3 linked regions of the Anolis sagrei genome follow. The protein of the gene in region 1 purifies or fractionates together with the protein of each later gene. This does not show direct contact. Links are inferred from orthologs where the notes say so. Each region holds a gene or a part of one and is shown in the gene's direction. Other genes may lie near its edges. The genes, in order: EIF4B, EIF3A and USP11.

Region 1 (3,751 bases):
AACCTGCCTCCTAGCTCACGCTGAATCAAAGAGCACAGCAGGAGGCAGAGCAACCTTCAATAGCCTGCAGTTCAACTCATGTCAACCACTTCCACCAAGTCTGGCCTCCTTAATGAGAGCATTCAACACACACACACACAACTTGGTTGCTACAATACATCGGCTATTGCTGCAAGTAATGACAGTGTAAATAAATTGCCAATATTTGCTTGAGATAGTGCTTACAGTTCTGGAGAGACTCTTAATTTTTTGCATCTCATAGACTTAGCATGGGGATTTGGTTAACCAGTTAAAATTCATGAGTAAACCAGGTCTTTTAAAAAATCTGAAACATTTCGGGGGGGGGGGGGTTGAACCCCTAAAACCACCCCCTCGCTACAGGCCTGGTCAGGAGCGACTTGAGAAACTGCAAGTTGCTTCTGGTGTGAGAGAATTGGCCGTCTGCAAGGACGTTGCCCAGGGGACGCCCGGATGATTTGAGCTTTCAGCACTTTTAATCCTGTACCCACTACTCTGGCCGGCCCAGTTTTAGTAATTGTCTGATGTATTGTTACTGTTTTGTTTACTTGCTTAACTGTTTTAATTTGCTTTGTATTGTTATGCTGTATTGTTGTTCTGTGGCTTCGGCCTGTTGTAAGCCGCATCGAGTCCCTTGGGAGATGCTAGCGGGGTACAAATAAAGTAATAATAATAATAATAATAATAATGTTGTTATCATCCTTGTGGGAGGCTTCTCTCATGTCCCCGTATGAGGAGCTGGAGCTGATAGAGGGACCTCATCCGCCTCTCCCCGGATTCGAACCTGCGACCTGTCGGTCTTCAGTCCTGCTGGCACATCTAGAGGTGACCAAAGGGTTATCTGAGTCCACACAGCCATATATTCCAGTTCAAAGCAGAACATGTGGGGTTTTATTAAGCTGCGTGGAAGGAGCCTAAAAGGCTCAAGGTCACCCATGACGTTTCACAGGGAGACTGGGCCTTAGCACGACGCCTCTTTCTCCTCCCAACTCCTTCTGTCTGGATTCGCCTTTCGAAACCCTCCCTCCAGTTCCTCTGCCGCTTCTCTGCCCGCCCGCTTACGTTCTATCCCCTCCTTGCCGTCTGCAAACCGCAGAATCAAGCAACCAACCCGCCCAGTTTGCTTCCCCTCCCACCCCGCGCCCTTTTTTTTTGTTATTGACGCATCCGCCCCCCTGAGGAGGAGGAGAAGAGGAGGTGCCTCTTTCGCTATAGTCACGTGACAGCTGCATCCGGGCCTTTTGCCTTCTCTCCCTCTTCCCAACATGGCGGCCTCAGGTGAGTGGTGTCTCGGTGGCGCATGGGCCTGCGGCTCGAGCGGCCGGTCTGACCCTTTTACGACGCTGGGAGGGAAACGGGGCGCCTCAAGGGAGGGCAGGCGGCTTCGCTTCGGCGGCCACCTTGGAGCCTGGGTCCACTGGTGTGGCTCCAATCGCACCGGCGCGGCCTTGGCTGCCCTCGCTGCGGCGCGCGCTCCCAGAGAGAGAGAGAGAGAGAGAGAGACAGCGCGCGAGGCGAGGGCCTTGGACTGGGATGAGGGAGTGGGGGAGGGGCGGCAGGGGAGCGGGCTGATGGAACCTTCGGCCGCGCGCCAGTGCGCAAGCGCGAGGGCGCGCGGCAGGGCGCGGGCGAGGTGGGGAGGGGGAAGGGAAGGACCTGGGCGGCACCCACGTGGGCCCAGCTCTTTGCTGACTCCCCACAGTCTGGCGTTAGGGGCGGGGCGTGGGTGGGACACGTCGCGTGGGAGCCTACGCCCCGCCTCCCAGACGGGCGTGAGGTGGGTCCACGTCCCTCCTGGTGCTTTATTTTTTTCCCCCCACCACCTTTTCTCTTCCCTTTCCCCATTTGATGTTTGGGTCATCTCTCGCCTAGACTGTGAGGTCATAGAATTACAGGCCTGAATCTTCCAGTTGAAACCAAGTTTGCTCAGGTGTCAGTGCAAAGTACTCTTGCAAGGGACCCTTCCACACAGTCCAGAATATCAAGGCAGAAAATCCCACAATATCTGAGTATGAACTAAGATAACCCAGTTCAAAGCAGATATTGTGGGATTTCCTTCCTTGATGTGTAGGGCTGTGTGAAAGGGTTCTTACAAGGTTACTTCCCTCATTTAAAAAATAATAATCAGTGGAAACTTCTCCCTTATGCACATTCCTGACGCTCAGATTGTAGTGGAAGTGGCTTCTTGTTGTAATGGAGAAAGTCAATATAAAGCTATAAATGTATTTACACATATTAATAGCCAAGCCATTTTTATTCATAGAATCATAGAATCAAAGAGTTGGAAGAGACCTCATGGGCCATCCAGTCCAACCCCATTCTGCCAAGAAGCAGGAATATTGCATTCAAATCACCCCTGACAGATGGCCATCCAGCCTCTGTTTAAAAGCTTCCAAAGAAGGAGCCTCCACCACACTCCGGGGCAGAGAGTTCCACTGCTGAACGGCACTCACAGTCAGGAAGTTCTTCCTCATGTTCAGATGGAATCTCCTCTCTTGTAGTTTGAAGCCATTGTTTCTCGTCCTAGTCTCCAAGGAAGCAGAAAACAAGCTTGCTCCCTCCTCCCTGTGGCTTCCTCTCACATATTTATACATATGTCACTAGACCTATGGGTCACTAAACATAGTGATACATAGGTCACTAAAGGGGAGTTCACCAAAATACTGTTGGTTGACTTAAGACCCTTCCACTTAGCCACATAACCCGGAATATCAAGGCAGAAAATACCACAGTATGTGCTTTGAACTGGGTTATCTGAGTCCACACTCGGATAATGTGGGATTTTCTGCCTTGATATTTTGGGATATAGGGCTGTGTGGAAAGGCCCAGAGAGAAGTGCCCCAAGACAGGCTTCTTTGATTAGGATGGGAAAGAGTGGTGAGGTTTGGCATCTTCTATATAATGCGAGGAAATATGTTACAGGAAATAGGTTGGAGACCCCTGTGGCGCAGTGGGTTAAACCGCTGAGCTGCTGAGCTTGTTGACTAAAAGGTTGCAGGTTCGAATCCGGGGAGTGGCATGAGCTTCCGCTTTCAGCCCCAGTTTCTGTCAACCTAGCAGTTTGAAAACATGCAAATGTGAGTAGATCAGTAGGTACCGCTCCGGCGGGAAGGTAACGGCTCTCCATGCAGTCATGCCGGCCACATGACCTTGGAGGTGTCTCCGGACAATGCCGGCTCTTTGGCTTAGAAATAGAGAATAGCACCACCTCCCAGAGTCGGACACGACTGGACTTCATGGAAAACCTTTACCTATATTACAGGGAGAGAGGGAGATCTAGGTTTTTGTTGTGAGTCTTAATAGGTGTCTTAGGTTCATCCCATCTTTTTTCTTAGGACCCTTCCACACAGCCATAAAACCCAGAATATCAAAGCAGAAAATCCCATAATATCTGTTTTGAACTGGGTTTTCTAAGTCCTCACTGCCATATAATTCAGTTCAAAGCAGATAATGTCAGAAATTAGACAGCTATGTGGAAGGGGCCTTAGGGTGCATCAGCAGCATGCATCCACAAACTGCAGCCCTCAAGCTCTTTGGGCTTCCAGCTCTCAAGAATTCCTGACAATTGAATAAGCTGACAAGGGCATCTGGGAAGTGGAGGTCCAAACAGCTGGAGAGCCGCAGTTTGAGGGCCCTTCCAGATAGGCTCAATATCCCAGGATCTGATTCCAGTTTTTCTGTTTATTCCAGATTATCTGGCAATGGGAACTCAGGGCCCTTCCACACAGACCTA
Region 2 (3,751 bases), on another chromosome or scaffold:
ACATCGCATGATGTGTTCTGCATACAAGTTTAAAAGGTTGGGTGAGAGTATGCAGCCTTGCCGTACGCCTTTCCCAATCTTGAACCAGTCTGTTGTTCCGTGGTCAGTTCTTACTGTTGCTACTTGGTCCTTGTACAGATTCCTCAGGAGAGAGACAAGGTGGCTTGGTATGCCCATCCCACCAAGAACTTGCCACAATTTATTATGATCCACACAGTCAAAGGCTTTAGAATAGTCAATGAAGCAGAAGTAGATGTTTTTCTGAAACTCCCTGCCTTTCTCCATTATCCAGCGGATATTGGCAATCTGGTCTCTCGTTCCTCTGCCTTTTCTAAACCCAGCTTGAACATCTGGCAACTCTCGCTCCATGTATTGCTGGAGTCTTCCTTGCAGGATCTTGAGCATTACCTTACTGGCATGAGAAATAAGGGCCACTGTACGGAAGTTGGAGCAGTCTTTCGCATTTCCCTTTTTTGGTATGGGGATATAAGTTGATTTTTTCCAGTCTGATGGCCATTCTTGTGTTTTCCATATTTGCTGGCAAATGGCATGCATCACCTTGACAGCATCATCTTTTAAGATTTTAAACAGTTCAGCTGGGATCCCGTCTCAGTACTTTGATCCCGTCTGAGTACTTTGGCCACATCATGAGGAGACAGGAAAGCCTAGAGAAGACAATGATGCTGGGGAAAGTGGAAGGCAAAAGGAAGAGGGGCCGACCAAGGGCAAGATGGATGGATGGCATCCTTGAAGTGACTGGACTGACCTTGAGGGAGCTGGGGGTGGTAATGGTCGACAGGGAGCTCTGGCGTGGGCTGGTCCATGAGGTCACGAAGAGTCGGAGACGACTGAACGAATGAACAACAACATTATATTGCATTACATTATCACATTAGTATTACATTGTATTATATTTCATCAGATCCTACACCAAAATAGGGCCTGCATCCGATTAAACAAGACTGACTACAAACAAGACGAGAGCTGGCCTCGAACCCACGACTGATGGGGCCAAAGCGACATCAGTGCTCATTTCAAGAGAAAAGGGCAACCCTCTATTGCTCCACTTCGCAGAGTTCTTTCCGACGCATGCGTACTTCTAACTTGCCTTCATCTTTCTCTCTCTCTCTCTCTCTCTCTCTCTCTCTCTCTCTCTCTCCCCCCCCCCCCCTTCTCTCGCGCAGGGAGCCGCGTTCGCTTCCGGACACGTCCGTGCGCGCGGCGGGGTCACGTGACGCCGTCTCTTTCCGGCCTCGCTTGCTGCTTGGCGGTGCGCTCCTTGAGGCTTCTTGCCGCGTGAGGAGGAGGAGAAGCACAGGCCGCCATCATGCCGGTCTACTTCCAGCGGCCCGAGAACGCCCTGAAGCGGGCGAACGGTGAGTGCGAGGCTCCTAGGCCGCTTCGGGTCTGGCGGAGGGCGCCGCCATCTCCTTTCCTGCCCCGTGCCCCGCCTGGCTAGGCTTCGTGAGGCCCGTAATGGAGGCCGAGGCCTAGGCGCGTGTGGAAGGAGGGAGGAAGCGCTCTCCCTCGTTGCCCTGGCCAGTTCCTCGCATGTCCGCCGGCCTTTCAGGGTTGCTTGCCCTCGTGTTTCTTCCCTGCTTTCCCCGACTGATGCCTTCGGGAAGGCTGTGGAGGGGAGGACTGCCAGTGAGAGGAATACACGTTGAGTGTCCCTTTCCCGAAATACTTGGGATTAGAAGTGTACCACATTTCGACACCCCCCCCCCCCCCGATTATGGAATATTTGCATATACATAATGAGATGGAACCCAAGTCTAAATACAAAATTCATTTATGTTTCACATGCACTTTATACATTCAGCCTGAAGGTAATTTTATACACAATATGTGACATAATCTGGCGATGGGACCCAAGTTTAAATAAAAAATGCATTTGTTTCAAATGCACTTTATACATATGTCTTGAAAGTAATTTTATAAACAATATATGAAATAATCTAGTGATGGAAATCAAGTCAAAATACAAAATGCATTTATGTTATGTATGCGCTTTATACAGATGTCTTAAAGGTAATTATATACACAAGATGTCAAATAATCTGGTGTTGGGACCCGAGTCTAAATACAAAATTCCTTTATGTTTCACAAGCACTTTATCCATATAGCCTGAAGGTAATTTTATACACAATATATGACATAATCTGACAATGGGAATCAAGTCTAAATACAAAATACATTTATATTCCATATGCACTTTATACATATATCTTAAAGGTAATTTTTTACACAAGACATCAAATAATCTGGTGTTGGGACTCAAGTCTACATACAAAATTCATTTGCCTCATATGGACTTGACACATATAACTGGAGGGTCATTTTATACACTGTATGTGAAATACTTTTGTATACATTCAGCCACCAGAAAACAAATGTGTCACTTTCTCAGCCCACCCATATGGACAGTTTCAGTATTTGGAGCATTTCGGAATTGTGGATAAGATGATGCTCAATTTGTAATTTGCTCTAACAATGGAGATAATAAAACCTTCTTTTCTTGCACCCTTTGTGTGTTGTTACATTGACAGTAATTTACACAGTGAAGCAAAAATGCCCTTTTTGCTCCTCATGGACTTCATGACAAAGCAAAAACCTTTGTTGTATGTTTTGAGCCGCTGGTGGTGCAGTGGGTTAAACCGCTGAGCTGCTGAACTTGCTGAATGGAAGGTTGGTGGTTTGAATCTGGGGAGCAGGATGAGCTCCCACTGTAAGCCCCAACTTCTGCTGACCTAGCCATTTGAAAACATGCAGATGTGAGTAGATCCGTAGGTACTGCTTCGGCAGGAAGACAACGGTGCTCCATGCAGTCATGACAGACACATGACTTTGGAGGCGTCTATGGACAATGCCGGTTCTTTGACTTAAAAATGGAGACAATTACCAGCCTCCAGAGTTGGACATGACTAGACTTAATGTCAAGGGGAAACCTTTACCTTTTACCTTTACTTTCCACATACTGAGATTCTGGTCACCTTACAAAACATTTATATCTCCTCGCTTAATTTTTTGTTGAAATGAATCATTGTAGAAGTGTCCTTCCTTTTTGAATATTGTATATAACAACTTGTGCAGTTGTGGTATGGAAGATACCAAGGACAGAAATATTGCTTAATTCCTTTTCCATTTTAAAATATTTGAATTCAGACAAGGCATTTAAAGACTGAAAAGTGTGGGGTTGGCTGTTCTTAAGCACAAGTAAATTGCGTTTATACGCATTTTAACGTTTATAGCATATGCACTCCTAAGCACATAAAACAAATAATGAATCAGGAACTGTCCTTGGTTTCCACTGAAAGTCAGCCATTGGACTCAGATGTGCAAAACTTGTACAGAGTAGTAGAATTAGTCACAGGTCATCTTTATCAAAGTTACTATAATAAATGTAGCATTATTTCATGATATCCATTAAGTTCAGAGATGGTATCTTTTGTTGCCCCCTTTCCCCTGTTTTGAGTCTTTTATGTGGTGAACTGACAATTCCAGTAGCACAACTCATCGGGAGGAAATAAACACACACTTTTAAACTTCGTTTAATAAAGAAAATTGCTGGCAAAACCAGTTCTGTGTGCTAGGGCTGCCAGGAGTATAAAAAGCTTCATGCTCAATATGTTTGAACACATTTGGATGAAGCAGGCTATACTGAGTCACTATAACGTAGTGCTGTTTTGTTAATAATCTTAAATAAGGCAATACGTATAACCAGAGTAATGTCACGATTTGAGTGTTGAAC
Region 3 (3,751 bases), about 9.6 Mb from region 1:
GATAGTAGCGGGGTACAAATAAAGTGTTGTTATTATTATTATTATTATTATTATTATTATTATTAAGTTTGCAAGCATGGTAGTTGATTAAATGTCCTTTGACTAGTAGCTGGCCACTTGGAGTGCCTCTGGTGTTACTATAAGAACGTCCTCCATTGCGAATGTAGCAGGGCTCAGGTTCTTTAGATAATTGACTTCAACAAGCCAGTATGGCTATGTGCCCTTACTAAAGATGGCAGATGAAGGGCTGAAGCCTCCCTTAGATAACTTACTTCACCAAGCCTGTCTGGCTGTGTGCCCTTACTAAAGATGGTGAATGAAGGCCTGGAGCTTTCCTTAGATAATTAACTTCACTAAGCATGTCTGGCTTATGCGCCCTTACTAAAGATGGAGGATAAAGGCCCAAAGCCTCCCTTAGATCAATGGTTGTCAACCTGTAGGTCCCCAGGTGTTCCCCACAGGTTGAAAACCACTACCTTAGATAATTCACTTCACCAAGCCTGTCTGGTTAAGCGCCCTTCCTAAAGATGGCGGATAAAGTCCCGAAAGCCTTCCTTAGATGGGTTGTTGTAGGTTTTTCCGGGCTATATGGCCATGTTCTGGAGGCAATTTTTCTCCTGACGTTTCGCCTGCATCTATGGCAAGCATCCTCAGAGGTAGTGAGGTCTGTTGGAAGTAGGAAACATGGGTTTATATATCTGTGGAATGACCAGGGTGAGACAAAGGACCCCTGTCTGCTGGGGCTAGCTGTGAATGTTTCAGCTGATCACCTTGATTTGCATTCAATGGCCTGGAAGCGCCTGGGGGAAATCTCTTGTTGAGAGTGATTTTATGTGCCTGTTTGTTTCCCCTCTGTTGTTTTGCTGTTGTAGATGGTTTACTTCATCAAGCCTGTCTGGCTATGTGCCCTTACTAAAGATGGCAGATAAAGGCCTGATAATTAACTTCAACAAGCCTGTCTAGCGATGCGCCCTTATTAAAGATGGCGGAAAAAGACCTGAAGTATCTTCCCTGCCAGGTGCCAAAGCTGAGGGAACAGAAGTTACCCAAAATACAGGGTGACATCGTTTTGTAATTCCTATTTCAACCAGTTCCCAGCTTTTTTAAATTTTCTTTTCAGGGTTTAAGAATGTTTAAGATAACCTCTTGATTTAGGTTTAGTTTCATTGGCCAACCAAGATGGCGCCCGTGGGCGGGGATAGCCCTACCCAACATGGCGGCGTCGGCCTCTTCCGCCCGGAGTTGCCACACCTATCACGGCCGGGCGGAAGCCGGTGGGCGGGGCCCCGAGGAGCCGGGAGTCGCGGCTTGGGAAAGAAGGCGCCCTCAGTTGCTGGCTTCCGGGCTGGATGGTGGGCGATGGCGGCCGAGCGGGGGCTGCCGGGTCTGGAGGCCCAGAGGCGGCAGGTCGAGGGGGAAGGCCCCACCCAGCCGGGCCTGGAGCGGCCCCTCCGAGCCGGGGAGAAGTGGTAAGCGGGGAGCGAGGCTGAGGAAGGGAGCAAGGCCTTTCCCGGAGTGTCCTCTGAGCAGACTGCGCCTCCCAGCAGGGCCATGGCAGTGGAAGGCAACATCCGAGCGCTGGAACAATGACCCTGGGCATTCAGGACAATTGCCTCCTCCTTTGGAAAGAGGAAACACTGGGAATGCATCTGGGCAGCAAGCAACAAGGCATGGGCAAGCTTTGGCCCTGCAGGTGTTTTGGACTATAACTCCCACAATTCCTAACAGCCTCAGGCCCCTTCCTTTTCCCTCTCAGCCGCTTAAGCGGCTGAGAGGGAAAAGGAAAGGGCCTGAGGCTGTTAGGAATTGTGGGAGTTGTAGTCCAAAACACCTGCAGGGCCAATGCTTGCCCTTGCCTAGTCTCCACTCTACCTAATGCAGTTTGAGCCCACTTTCACTGCCTTAGCTCAATGCCTTGGACTCTCTGGAGTTGTAATTTCACAAGATCTCTCGCTTTCTCTGCAAAGGAGACAGAAAACCTCACCACATAATGTAATGATGGGATATTTCTGTATTGCAGTGTTTCTCAAACTTCCTAATGCCATGACCCCTTAATACAGTTCCTCATGTTGTGGTGACCCTCAACCATAACATTTCATGACTGCTACTGTTGCTACTGTTATGAAAAATAATGTAAATATCTAATATGCGGGATGTATTTTCATTCAGTGGACCAAATTTGGCACAAATACTTGATACACCCAAATTTGAATACTTGTGGGATTAGGAGAGGGGAGGTAATTTTGTCATATGGGAGTTGTAGTTGCTGGGATTTATAGTTCACCTACAATCAAAGAGCATTCTGATGGAATTGAACCAAACTTGGCACACATATGCCCAAATGCAAACAGTGGTGGGGTTTGGGGAAAATAGGCCTTGACATTTGGGAGTTGTAGTTGCTGGGATTTATAGTTCACCTACAATCAAAGAGCATTCAGAACCCCACCAATAATACAATAGGACCAAACATCCCACACAGAACCCCCATGATGAACAGAAAATAATGTTTTCTGATGGTCTTTGGCAACCCCTCTGACACCCCCTCATGATCCCTCTGGGGGTCCCGACCCCCAGGTTGAGAAACACTGCTGTATTGCCTTTCTCCAAGGACACAAGGCGGTTTACAACCATTGTTAAAATATAAAATAACCCATTAAAATAATCCCAGAATCATTGCCCTGATTCCACAGCATAGAGCCATGGCCATGAGAGTGGGGTCAAGCTGCATTCACTCATCTGTCTAGAGCAGTAGTTCTCAACCTGTGGGTCCCAAGATGTTTTGGCCTTCAACTCCTAGAAATCCTAACAGTTTGTAAACTTGCTGGGATTTCTGGGAGTTGTAGGCCAAAACACTTGGGGACCCATAGGTTGAGAACCACTGATCTAGAGGTCCTCCCAGTTGGAGTCGGTGAGGGCCCTGCCACACAGGCCTAGATCCCAGAATATCAAGGCAGAAAATCCCACAGTATCTTAGTATGGACTCAGATAACCCAGTTCAAAGCAGACATTGTGGGATTTTCTCCCTTGATATTCTGGGATATAGGGCTGTGTGGAAGGGCCCTGAGTTCACACTGCCCTATATTCCAGTTCAAATAAGATACTGTGGAGTTTTCTGCCTTGATATTCTGGGATATTTCTGCCGACCTAGCAGTTCGAAAACATGCAAATGTGAGTAGATCAATAGGTACCGCTCCGGTGGGAAGGTAACGGTGCTCCATGCAGTCATGCCGGCCACATGACCTTGGAGGTGTCTACGGAAAACACTGGCTCTTCGGCTTAGAAATGGGGATGAGCACCACACCCCAGAGTCAGACATGACTGGACTTAATGTCAGGGGACTACCTTTACCTTATTCTGGGATATAGTGCTGTGTGGAAGGGCCCTGTGTCCACACTGCCCTATATTCCAGTTCAAACCAGATATTGTGGGATTTTCTGCCTTGATATTCTGGGATATAGGGCTGCATGGAAGGGCCCTGTGTTTTATTCCTGAGTTCAATATAACTGTCTACTTCCTGCCTTCGCCATTCTTGCTTAGCTGTTGAACTTGAGGGGGTTTATTTTTGGATAGGGAGCCATTGAGATCATGGGCCCTCCCAGACAGGACCTATATCCCAGCATCTGATCCCAGGTTTTCTGTTTATCCCAGATTATCTGACAGTGGGGACTCATATAATGCAGTTTAAAGCAGAAAACCTGGGGTCAGATTCTGGGATATAGGGCCTGTCAGGAAGGGCCTGTTGTTTGAGTTT

The links.
Region 2: the proteins of EIF4B (region 1) and EIF3A purify together in Homo sapiens (co-immunoprecipitation; 3 studies listed by BioGRID and IntAct, with this or other methods). This does not show direct contact. The link is inferred for Anolis sagrei from reciprocal best matches to the Homo sapiens genes EIF4B and EIF3A.
Region 3: the proteins of EIF4B (region 1) and USP11 purify together in Homo sapiens (affinity purification with western blotting; 3 studies listed by BioGRID, with this or other methods). This does not show direct contact. The link is inferred for Anolis sagrei from reciprocal best matches to the Homo sapiens genes EIF4B and USP11.

Annotation. Positions count from the first base shown.
Region 1 is NC_090022.1:183,596,700-183,600,450, forward strand, and holds the start of EIF4B (eukaryotic translation initiation factor 4B), read left to right. Parts: upstream 1-1,211; 5' UTR 1,212-1,283; coding exon 1,284-1,296; intron 1,297-3,751. UniProt on the Homo sapiens protein: Required for the binding of mRNA to ribosomes. Functions in close association with EIF4-F and EIF4-A. Binds near the 5'-terminal cap of mRNA in presence of EIF-4F and ATP.
Region 2 is NC_090023.1:202,542,370-202,546,120, forward strand, and holds the start of EIF3A (eukaryotic translation initiation factor 3 subunit A), read left to right. Parts: upstream 1-1,220; 5' UTR 1,221-1,327; coding exon 1,328-1,376; intron 1,377-3,751. UniProt on the Homo sapiens protein: RNA-binding component of the eukaryotic translation initiation factor 3 (eIF-3) complex, which is required for several steps in the initiation of protein synthesis.
Region 3 is NC_090022.1:193,156,500-193,160,250, reverse strand, and holds the start of USP11 (ubiquitin carboxyl-terminal hydrolase 11), read left to right. Parts: upstream 1-1,278; 5' UTR 1,279-1,359; coding exon 1,360-1,469; intron 1,470-3,751.